Drosophila melanogaster: one gene and its partners. The protein of the gene in region 2 interacts with the protein of the main gene of each other region in a biochemical or structural test. Each region holds a gene or a part of one and is shown on either strand. Other genes may lie near its edges. The genes, in order: dhd, ProtB and P32.

What was found.
Region 1: of the proteins of ProtB (region 2) and dhd, one has a biochemical effect on the other in vitro, tested with the Drosophila melanogaster proteins (one study listed by BioGRID).
Region 3: of the proteins of ProtB (region 2) and P32, one has a biochemical effect on the other in vitro, tested with the Drosophila melanogaster proteins (one study listed by BioGRID).

Annotation. Positions count from the first base shown.
Region 1 is NC_004354.4:5,310,220-5,313,665, reverse strand, and holds dhd (deadhead), read right to left. Parts: upstream 1,496-3,446; 5' UTR 1,207-1,495; coding exon 883-1,206; 3' UTR 544-882; downstream 1-543. Other genes in the region: CG4198 (uncharacterized protein), read right to left, coding at 1-233; TrxT (thioredoxin T), read left to right, coding at 1,955-2,428; snf (sans fille), read right to left, coding at 3,237-3,446. UniProt on the Drosophila melanogaster protein: Participates in various redox reactions through the reversible oxidation of its active center dithiol to a disulfide and catalyzes dithiol-disulfide exchange reactions. As a reducing substrate of peroxiredoxin 1, thioredoxin 2 is preferred over thioredoxin 1.
Region 2 is NT_033779.5:14,881,554-14,885,600, forward strand, and holds ProtB (protamine B), read right to left. Parts: upstream 2,169-4,047; 5' UTR 2,049-2,168; intron 1,156-2,048; 5' UTR 1,135-1,155; coding exon 754-1,134; intron 705-753; coding exon 651-704; 3' UTR 548-650; downstream 1-547.
Region 3 is NT_033778.4:17,670,799-17,674,313, forward strand, and holds P32 (P32), read right to left. Parts: upstream 1,843-3,515; 5' UTR 1,737-1,842; coding exon 1,532-1,736; intron 1,412-1,531; coding exon 1,067-1,411; intron 1,009-1,066; coding exon 767-1,008; 3' UTR 511-766; downstream 1-510. Other genes in the region: IBIN (induced by infection), read left to right, coding at 302-427; Sema1b (semaphorin 1b), read right to left, coding at 3,512-3,515.

The DNA of each region.
Region 1 (3,446 bases), on a different chromosome or scaffold from region 2:
GTCGATGTGCCGCCACCGCTGGCGCCACCGGCCGCCCCGCCAGCCACCTTAATTACCTCGATCTCGCGAAATAGCCGCTTTAATCGCACCTGTCGCATCTTCATTTCGATGGTGCGATCGTTGAACTCCTGGATGCGCTCGTACTCATCACGCAGACGCTGCAGTTGGCCATTCTTCTTGCTCTCGTTGAACATGCGACGAAAGTAGGGCGTCGATTTGATCTGATACGACATGATGGTGTGGTTTCTACTCTACCACGGATTATGGATTGGATTTACACGAAATTTGATTTTTATTTACTAACGAAATCCGTACAATTTGGATGCGACCGAAATGTGCGTTTTGGATTTGATTGAATTTGTGCTGCGGAATGTTTGGGATTTTTTGTTTTTCGTGTGTGTGATCTCAAGTTTGGTTAGCAAATGCCAAATGTTGCTGGAACCCGAAATGACATGACCACGCAGCGCCTACTTGGTTAACAATCCAAATGCTGTGGGCAAAAAAAAAACAAAGCTGATTCCATGTTAACATTTAAATGTCCAGAGTGGTTACAATAATTTATTGATCGAATTGCTTCTTAGTGCCTGAATCTTAAAGCTAAATGGGCGGGATTATGTGTCGCAGACACGCCTCCGCGCCACAAATCATAGCATATAAGTAGTAGTAGTAGCATAGCATATATCATCTGGTCACTGCTGTTGGCTGCACTGCATCTCCTGCTACCCACATCTCGCGCTTACAAGCTAAACATCACATGAGCATACACATAACATCGAATACATAAACGAACACAAATGAGGCGAACATGTTTAAAAGATGAGTTAAATAAGTAAAAAAAAAAAGATGCGCTGCTGATTGCTAATTGCTGGGCAGGATTGCTGCTTACGCCTTCACCAGCTTGGCCATCATGTTGGTCAGCTTGTGCTCGTCGGCGCCGGCAAAGGAGGCCAAGCGTCGATTTTGGCGCAAAAAGACAAACGTTGGCATGCTGCGCACCTTGTAGCGCTCCGTCAGCTCCTCGAATTTGTCCACATCGATCTTGAGCACCACCGCCTTGCTGGAGTATTTTCTGGCCAGCGATTTGACGGTGCTCTCCATTTCCTTGCAGGGACCACACCATGTCGCATAGAAATCCAGCACGATTAGCTTGTCGTCGGCCGCCTCGATGCGCTTGTGATAGTCGTTCATGGTGCGTACGGATGCCATTTTTATGTCGCGAGGATTAGCAAAGTGTTTTTCTTCTTTTTTTTAAATTAAAGAACTTGACGTGATGGGGCTGTTGGCGCTTTCGCTGCAAATTGTGAACTGATTGAAATGGCGGCTGCGTAGGCGACTTTATAGGGGTCTCCAAGTGGCGGTGTGTAGAGTGGAATTCCCGCCAATTTGCATGCTGAATTCTCGCGTGGCCGCTAAACAAAATGGCGGCCCATGGAGAGTGCAAAATGGCGGGCGTGTTAGGGTTGCCAGGTCGTTGGGAAAGCCAACCGAGTGTGTTGGGGGGTGGGGAACATACTTATTCACCACGGCAGGTCTATCGATATCGATATGAATATTATTATCGTAATTATGGCAAAATAATGGCGTCACACGACATAGTACTAATATTTTCCTCGAGTGTTGCCATAGCCGTGGTAGGTTCGAAGCCAAACTCACCTCAACACACCGCGCCGCTGACATTTGAAAACACTTTTTTTTCAATCCAAGAAGGCCGCAAAATATTTGGCGAAAACTGTATAAAAGAACGCCTGCCGCCCTACAATTTTCATTTCGGGCTGATATCTCGGCGAGGGCAGAGCTCCATTAAAATTCAAAAGTAACAAAACAAATCAAGTGAATTTTACACCCAAAACAAGATTTTCTAACATTTTCCTTTTTTTTTTCTTTCTTCTCTTCCCATTTTTTTTTTTTTTTGTTTCGTTTCGATTTGCAATCCGTTTGGAATTTAGTTAAAGTCATGGTGTACCCAGTGCGGAACAAGGACGATCTTGACCAGCAGCTAATCCTCGCCGAGGACAAGCTGGTGGTAATTGATTTTTATGCAGACTGGTGCGGACCTTGCAAGATAATAGCACCCAAGCTGGACGAACTGGCGCAGCAGTACTCGGACCGTGTCGTCGTACTCAAGGTGAACGTGGACGAGAACGAGGACATTACGGTCGAATACAATGTGAATAGCATGCCCACTTTTGTGTTCATCAAGGGCGGCAATGTGCTGGAGCTCTTCGTTGGCTGCAATTCCGATAAGCTGGCCAAATTGATGGAGAAGCATGCCGGCGTTTATACCGATGAAGCGGCCGACGTTAAGGCCGTCCATATCGATGGCGAATGCATTGTCGATCTGACCGCCGAGTCCAGTGAAAGCGACAACGACAACAACAACGTTAATGAGGTGTCCGCCCACGACGAGAATGCCGTTCTGGAGCACTAGGCAAAAGTACCATTACACTCCGAACATAACGACAACATATGTATGTAAGTACGATTGCCGGAGTGCAAGCATTGTGGTCACATAACCGATTCCCTGCTCCTTCTCCTGCAGCTCATCATTCAACAGACGTAACGGAAGAAAGCAATAGATATATATATATATATATACATAGACACACACACACACACACACACACACTTATCGATGTATATATATATATATATATATATAATACACACACTTATCCCAGATTTATTATGCACACTCATAATACTCATCATTTGTGGTGCCTAAAGTATGATGATTGCATTACAATTGTAAGCCTGATGATGTTGTTACGGCGGAGGAGGACTACGTCGCTGAACGATTCTACATATAGCAAACATTTTGGGAATCCGAGGACTTGTGGGACTTACTCAACACACGCTCCCGCACACCAAACTGATGTTGATTTTGCAGCGAGCTTGATACACCATGCAGACTGAGCAAAGGGACGCTATATATATATATATATATACTACTATACACCATATACTATACACTAAATGGAAATATGTACAATCGACCGACATAAATAATACGCATTACTAGCTGTTAGTTATAAGTTTGCAGACAAACAAATAGATCTACACAATAAACAATCAACTATTCTATTCTATACTTTTGCCTTTAAGGATCTTTGGGCGAAATGGGATATGGGAGGGATATGGGCATATGGAATACTCGTAGTTTGTTTGTTTATATCGATTTATTCTATAGTTTAAATTATTATTGGAGTTGCTGGAACGCCCGGCGACTGGAGTTGCGTTCACTTCTTGGCGAACGTTATCTTCATGGCGTGCGTCGGCGTAATCTTGAAGCCCTGCAGCGCCTCCTTGGCGGCATTGCTCTGCAACTCGGTGGTGAACTCCACAAAGGCGATGTCGTGACGATTCGGCACAAGACGCACCTCCTTGAAGCCGGGGAACTGATTGAACAGCATGGACAGCATCATCTCGTTGGTCTCCTCGGGCAGATT
Region 2 (4,047 bases):
AATTTTTAAGAAGAGCATAAAAATAAGACTTTTGGAAAAATTTTGCTTGTGAACTGTTTGTGTACCAAGTTACAACTAATGTTTAAAAAAACCGACTGCCCGGTATAAGGGGTATACGGCAAAACCTACGCCAACTATATGGAATAAAGTTAGATTTGATCGAAACGACGCCGGCGGATACGCATCCTGGGAAACATCCTTCTGTTAGGTGGTTACGCCCCCATGTTTCCCTTTGCCAGTGGCAGTGTGGCAAGTTTTCCTCATAGGTGGCATAAATTATGTGAAACAATTTTTGGGTATTTCGATTGTCTCACAACAGACGCCTGGTCAGAGAACTGTGGAAAAGCTTGAAGCAGAAGCCTATCCATATCTTCGAATTCACCATTGCCGTGCCCATTTACCACTCAGCCGTTTCATTTCTTTGGATCACAGCTCATTAGAAAGCTCATATAGTGGAATAATAAATTGAATTTCGCCGGGCACCTGGAACAACCACAAATACCCATTCGCGCTATTCCAACATCCTAGAATCGTAAAAAAAATGAAACCCGGTTTTTAATTTTTTTTATTTCTAAATTCATCGAATGGTATCAAATCAATGAAAATATATGCCTGGACTTAACTGCATCAGACTTTTTCCTATCTCAGTATTACTTGCAAATCCGTCGGCGCTTGTGGCGTTCACTGGTGGTGACCTTGCATGCCTGAAAGGACAAATTAATAGTCTTCATAATATAAAAAAAAAATACGTACCATCCGGCGGTATCTATCCTTTCTATGCTCCGGGAGCTCGGCCCACGCTTTAGCGGCCTCTGCAATTAATTCCTGCGGCTTCAAGTCACAGTGCTTCTTTCGGAAGAAACGCACGAAATTCAAATAGGCGTTGTTAGTGACAGGTCCCTGCTTGCTGCACTTCTGACTCGGTGCACACTTGACCTTGGGCCGAGTCGCCTTGGCACAGGCTGCCTTTCGGCGCGGCTTTGCACAGGACTTCATTGGCTTACATTTGGGCGGTGCTCTCCTCTTTGGATGATTACACATTTCAGTGAGACCTTTAGGACTTTCATCTTTTGCAGAAATGGAAATTATGCCATTCCACAGGCTCTTGCACTCATTTACATTATTTGAACTCATCGTAGAAAATTTTTACAAACTCTGAAAAGAAAAGGAAAGGGAAGTTTTATATGGGATTTATTTGTTGTGTACGATGTCAGCCATCAACTGTGATGGAGTATGTTCCCCCCGCATGTGAGTGTTGGCCCCAGAAGCCGCAGAGTTGCGTCCTAGAGAAGTCACTTATTCAGTGAGCAATCCGAGTCTCAAACCAAAAGTAAAGCCCAAGCCCTACCGACCAGGATGAAGACCTGAACAGCAGGAGACAAGCGGTTGCAACTGCAACAAAGCCCATAATTAATAACAGTTGCAATCTGATTCCCGACGTTGTTTTGTAACGAACAAAAAGTTGATCAATCAGGACGTGTAATTTATTTACAATTTCACTCTGACAACGAAAGAAAGAACTAAGAGTTTCTCTTTAGATTAACTGGATCTTTCTTTCGGCCGAACCGCGTGAACCGCTATGATTTATTTAATTGCCCGCGCTTGCTGCCAGTGTTGTTGCAGCATGTAAATAACGTCATTACAAGGCGTGGGGCGTGGCAAGGTGGTTGCCTGTCGACAGACTGCCCCGGCATTAGTTTAAAGCCAGATAGGAGGGCCACATCCATCCGACATCGAGACAAACACGCCGGCCGCCAAAAAGGCGTGGCCGCCGAATTTCCGCTTTGACTTGCAACACTTTGGTGCAACACGCCCCATAACCTTGCAGTCGACATTATTTTAATCGCATCTCAATGAATTTTACAGAACTGAATTTCACAAAAGCTTCTTTAAAAGAGAATTATAAAAGTAAAATTTTTTTTCAAATGAAGTTTATCGAAACTGATTAGCATACCAATAGAAAGTAATTATGCGCTTCGTTTTAAACAATTGATTTGTTGGTATGTTATTTTGTAAAAATAAATCGTAATTCGTTTTATTTCACTTACCCTTATGAAGTTTTTTATAAAAACCAAATTTTTGTCACAACTAATTTTTAAGAAGATCATAAAAATAAGACTATAAATTTTTGGAAAAATTTTGCTTGTGAACTGTTTGTGTACCAAGTTACAACTAATGTTTAAAAAAACCGACTGCCCGGTATAAGGGGTATACGGCAAAACCTACGCCAACTATATGGAATAAAGTTAGATTTGATCGAAACGACGCCGGCGGATACGCATCCTGGGAAACATCCTTCTGTTAGGTGGTTACGCCCCCATGTTTCCATTTGCCAGTGGCAGTGTGGCAAGTTTTCCTCATAGGTGGCATAAATTATGTGAAACAATTTTTATACCCACTATTGCTCGTGCCAAACTCTATGCGGCTTATTAAAATTTCTAGCCGCCGGGCTAACAAACTCGGTGTGGCTAAGAAATTTTGGGCGAAACGTCTTGGGGATTCCGATTGTTTGGACATGTGTGAGGTTTTCTATTATCTGTAAAATGTTATGATTTATTATGTGCGGGCTCAAGTTGATGGTGCGGCCATAAATTGCGACCCTTTGGAGTCTTTGCCTTTGGCTTTGCCTCTGCCGTTGGCTTTGCCGCTTCCTTTTCCGTCGGTTCATCTTTGGTCTCTGCCTTTTCCAGCACCAGTTAAGTCAATTAATTGGCCTTAGATTTATTAGTTTTTACCCCGCTGTTCCTCGCGCCTTTAGCATAGGTGCCGTGATTTATTGTTGCAGGAATGCCAAAACAACAAAGGGAAATTCCTCGGCTTTGACTTTGGCACGCACACAGGGAGAGTAGACAAAGTCCAGGTGACTGAGGAGGTGTGGCATTTGCATATAAATAGATATGTCAGCTAAAATATGAACCACATGAGTCGGGTCCTGTGTACTATATTTTGTTACTTCCGCCTCGCGGCGAAAACGCTTCCATTGCGTGTCGCGATAAATACAAATTTCAAGTTCTCCGTTCTCATTTTCCATTAAATTAGCCTCAGTGTCAAATACTGACACCCAAACTGATGTACCCAGGGGCGGGTAGGACACTCATTGTAGCCTGATGCTACGCTACTGAATTATTAACTGGGTCAAAGTAAGGGCACACATAAAAGTATCAGTGTCCGCATCTTATGAAACAAACTGTCAAGAGGTTGACATTTAGCTCGCAATGATGGGGACATTCGGGTAGCGAAACAAGGCAATTATTTTTGTATTAAGATATTTTAGGGTAAACATTTTTAGAGTGGGCGTGGCAAAAAGTTTTTAAGTAGAAATGCATAAGACTAATAATAATATGAAATATATATATGTGTCTATGTCTCTAGAGCATGTACGTATGCATGTATCTCAACCTTCTAGCTTTTACAGTTCCTGAGACAGTCATGTCCAGTTCGACTCGGCAGTTGATCCTGATCAAGAATATATATACTTTATATGGTCGAAAGTGGTACCTATTTATAAAAATCAGCTTTAAATTTAAAAATCCAATCAATCACAGCAGCCCAAATAGCAATAAATAAGTCGCAAAACGTGAGCGACGGAAAACGAAATGATTTTCATCCAAATCATGTTGACAAATTTGGCTATAGGCCAAAGGGCATCACGTCATCACATGGGCTAAGTCCTCGAATCAAGTGCAAGGAGTCGCATATGTGAGTGCTCGCAATGACGCCCAGATTATCATCGCTGCTGGATGCTGTTTTCCTGCTCCCCGAATGCCCCGTTTGCCATCGGGTTGCCGGTGTAATAACTTAAAATCCCATAATAAAGCTACTTACTGCCTTCGTCGTTGGCGCTGTCCTCGTGGCTCTAACAATAACTATTTTTCTTTGGATTTGGCTGGCGATGTGGCTCGAATTGAGTTCCAGAGGCTTTCTGCCACCGCAAATGTGCAAGTCAAGTGCATACGTCACTGGTTCCATTCAGCAAAGCCATACCTAAGGTCTAAGTGCACAGCATCCATTTGGTCTTTTTTTTTTTGTCGTTGCCCTACTCTTGTT
Region 3 (3,515 bases), on a different chromosome or scaffold from region 2:
TGGTCGCAGTTCTTATTATTGGTCGTATAAAAAAAAGCTTTTTAACGAAATATATAAAATCCATCTTAATGACAAAGTATGACATTACATGGCCTCCACGCTGATAATCCTGCTTATTGTGAAACAATAACACATATAGGTCGTACATTAATGGTAAATCCCATCGCCCAATAAACAGATCGGAGTACTTCCCCAAGAGAAAGGTCACTATTTCAACGATAAGGTGAGGCAATCTCACCTATAAAGAGGAGCATTAAAAGCTGCAGCACCACAATCTAAAGTTAACTTGCCGTTAATCAAGATGCAACTGCTGCCAATCCTCGTGCTCCTCGCTCTCCTCATCTGCGCCGCCTGCAAGAACCACGAGGACTGGGGAGGATACCGACCAAGTGACTACGATCCCAGGCCATATTTCCGGCAGTTCTAAATGATCACGAAACTCAACCCACAGGAAAATCTTTACGAAAAATCGATGCAACCATAGAAAGAAAATAAACAAAAAAAAAAACTAGGGAATTAACGTTGTATTTGTTAAAAACCAAAGCGAAGCTGATGCCGAAAAGGGTGAATTATTGGCAACCGTTTCTATAGTTTTATCTGAAACATGTATGAATGTTTTATGGCTTAAAAACTAAGTTTCACTGTCACAGTTAAACCAAAAACACAACTAATAAAAACTGTTTTAGGTGATGAAACTGCGACAGCAGACAATAGAAACTTAAAAACCTACACAACTTTATGCTTTAAGATTAAGTGGGACGAACATTCACTTGCCACCGGCAGTGAATTTGGAGAGCTTTTCCAGCAGACCAATGTAGGAAGTGTGCTCATGGGCAGTGGCTAGGTCCGACAGTTTTTCGGCAAACTCCTGACTGATGCCCTTCTCCTCCAGCAAGTTGATCAGCAAGTCGTACAAGTAACCGTCAAGCACGTCGCCTGCGACGGCGTAGACCTTATCGTTCCACTCGCCCTCGAAGATGGCCATTTCATCAATGGAGAAGACATCGTCTGAAAGGTAAAACCTGTGTTATCGGTGAATCAAAACGATTTCTGTCAAAGTACTCACTGTACTCGCCCTCCTGAGCTTCGCCTTGAAGGAAGCTGCAGGTAAAGGACAGCGTAGAGTTGCCCTTTATGATGTCCACCTCGAACTGGGGCTTGCTTCTCATTTCACCGAGATCCGGCTTGTCAGCATTGGGGTTGATTTCGGGCTCCTCCTCGCTGTCCACCGTATGGTTCACATTGAAGCTGACCACCACCTTTTCCTTATCCGTCTGCTTGGTGAGCTCCACATCGGCGCCGGTCAGTTTTACGGCGAATCCATCCAGGGTGCTTGGCACCGTCTTGCCCTTTTGAACCTTGCGCTCGGCCACTATCTCCTCGGTGAGGAACTCCACCAGTTCCCGCTCACCTGGATATAAACAAAGCGTTTAATTTTCTGTGTTTTGGTCAACATTTCGTCACCCAACGTTTGAGGTTATGTAACCGGCGGCATGGACCGCCCATGTAAGAATTTGTTGAGTTAACTTACATTTGGTGTGCACGTTGCAGCCGCACGTGCAATTAATGCTGGGCTTGTGGAGATTCAACACGGTTACATGATCGGATCCTCCGGCTGTCACCGGCTTTTTGGTCATGTGCCACAGGCTGCGGGTGAAATCGCGCTTGCCGAGAGATCCGGCACTGGAGCTGGCCAGAGCGGCAAATCGCATGGTTGCTGTCCTTAGGCTGTTCATTTTGTTATATAACCGCGACCTGGGCTTTTTACTTTAATTAAACACTGAAATGTGCAACACGCCAAAAGTGTAGTGCCTGGTGTGACCGTTGAATCTTATTCAGAAAATCACGAGGCTGATGTATTGTAGAGCCATATCAGAAGTTATCGATCATTTTTCGGCGCGAAAGGCTTTATCGTAAACTATTCAAATTTTGAAATTAGCCTTTATTGGAAAAATGATTGATTTCAATAAATATAACCAAACCATATTTGCTGTAAAAATTCAATGTTTCATAGATCCGAACCTATTAAAAGACCACATTGAGTTATGAAAAAAATGACGACTTTATTAGATTTACGAATTGCTTATCGGATGTATACAACAATATACACATTACAAGGACATACACAGTAATAAAAACTAAACACCATGAAGGGTTTTCTCTGGTTCTTGATCCTCCGAGTGGAAGACCCATTCCTACGCAATATTATCATGCATGCAATCAGACTCGTTCGTCATATATATCATTGTTTTTCAACCAAAAGGCATATCATTTCATCTTTCTAAAATTTCAATAAAATCTATCACAATATGAGAAATCATTACATTACGTTTTTTTTTGTAAGATTTAAAAATATTTTATATATAGCTTTTATCGGGATTTTCCATTTTTAAGACTTTCTTATGTTAAGATTTAGACATTAGGCGTACATATACGTATAAAAATATATTAATTACGATGAAAATTGCATTTTACACGTTTTAAAAATAAAATTGCCATTGTACATTGTATTTATGCAACTTCTTTAGTGGGACGGACAACAGCTTAGAAATTAAACATAAAATTATTAAAATGCTGATTTACGTTGATTGCCAACCAAGCTCATTATTTCCATCCAAAGCTTACAAGTTTAGCGTTAAGGCCTAGATTCGACACGATTTTATACTATTTATAAGGCTTGCTGTTGTTGCAGTGTTCATTTATTTTCGCTTTCTTGTGCGTTTTTCCATCTGATGATGTGGGGGCTGCGGTGTCAGTTCTTATCAAACAGCCTCATAGAAGTTTTCTTCGTTTCTTAGCCTAGTTCGTACTTTTAATTACATTCTATGTTCAATTCCTTATAGAGCTTATGTTAGATACAATTTTACGCTTTTGTTAGCCACAAAGCATAGAGCTTTAAAGTCTCTGTCGCATTCTGTTAGTTCTCCACAAAACAAACTCATATAGAATAATTAATCATTCAGTCTAACAAAATACTTGTTGAATATTCGATTGAATTTCGAGAAATAATTGGGGCTGGTCCGCTTCGGGTTCGATTTCGGTATGCATGATATGTGATTAAATTTGTACAGCTCTAATATTTGCACTTAAAGATTATACATTAAGAGTACACATAAGGGGCGACACAATCGGGCTGCGTAGCCAAGAGCCGGCACTCCTATTTTGGACAGCAAAGGTCGACGTCAGGGGAATGCGGAATGCTTCGGGTTAGCTCCAGGCTGCGGCAGCCCGCACACTACGTTGTCAATAAATTTAACTAAATTTTGACAAAGAAACTAAGCTTACGCAAATTTTACATCAAATTAAATTACAATACAAGCTAAGTAAAAAAGACGCAACAGCTCTGCTTCCTATCTTTCGGATGCGTTTCAAACGCATCCGAGACTGTCGTTTACATTATTCGCAAATTGGGTGGGGGGTTACTATAACTAACAGCAACATAAACAACGAAAATATGTTTTAGAGTATAGAAATTCGACTAATTTTGCAGTTGGCTGCCCTCACAAGGCCACTAG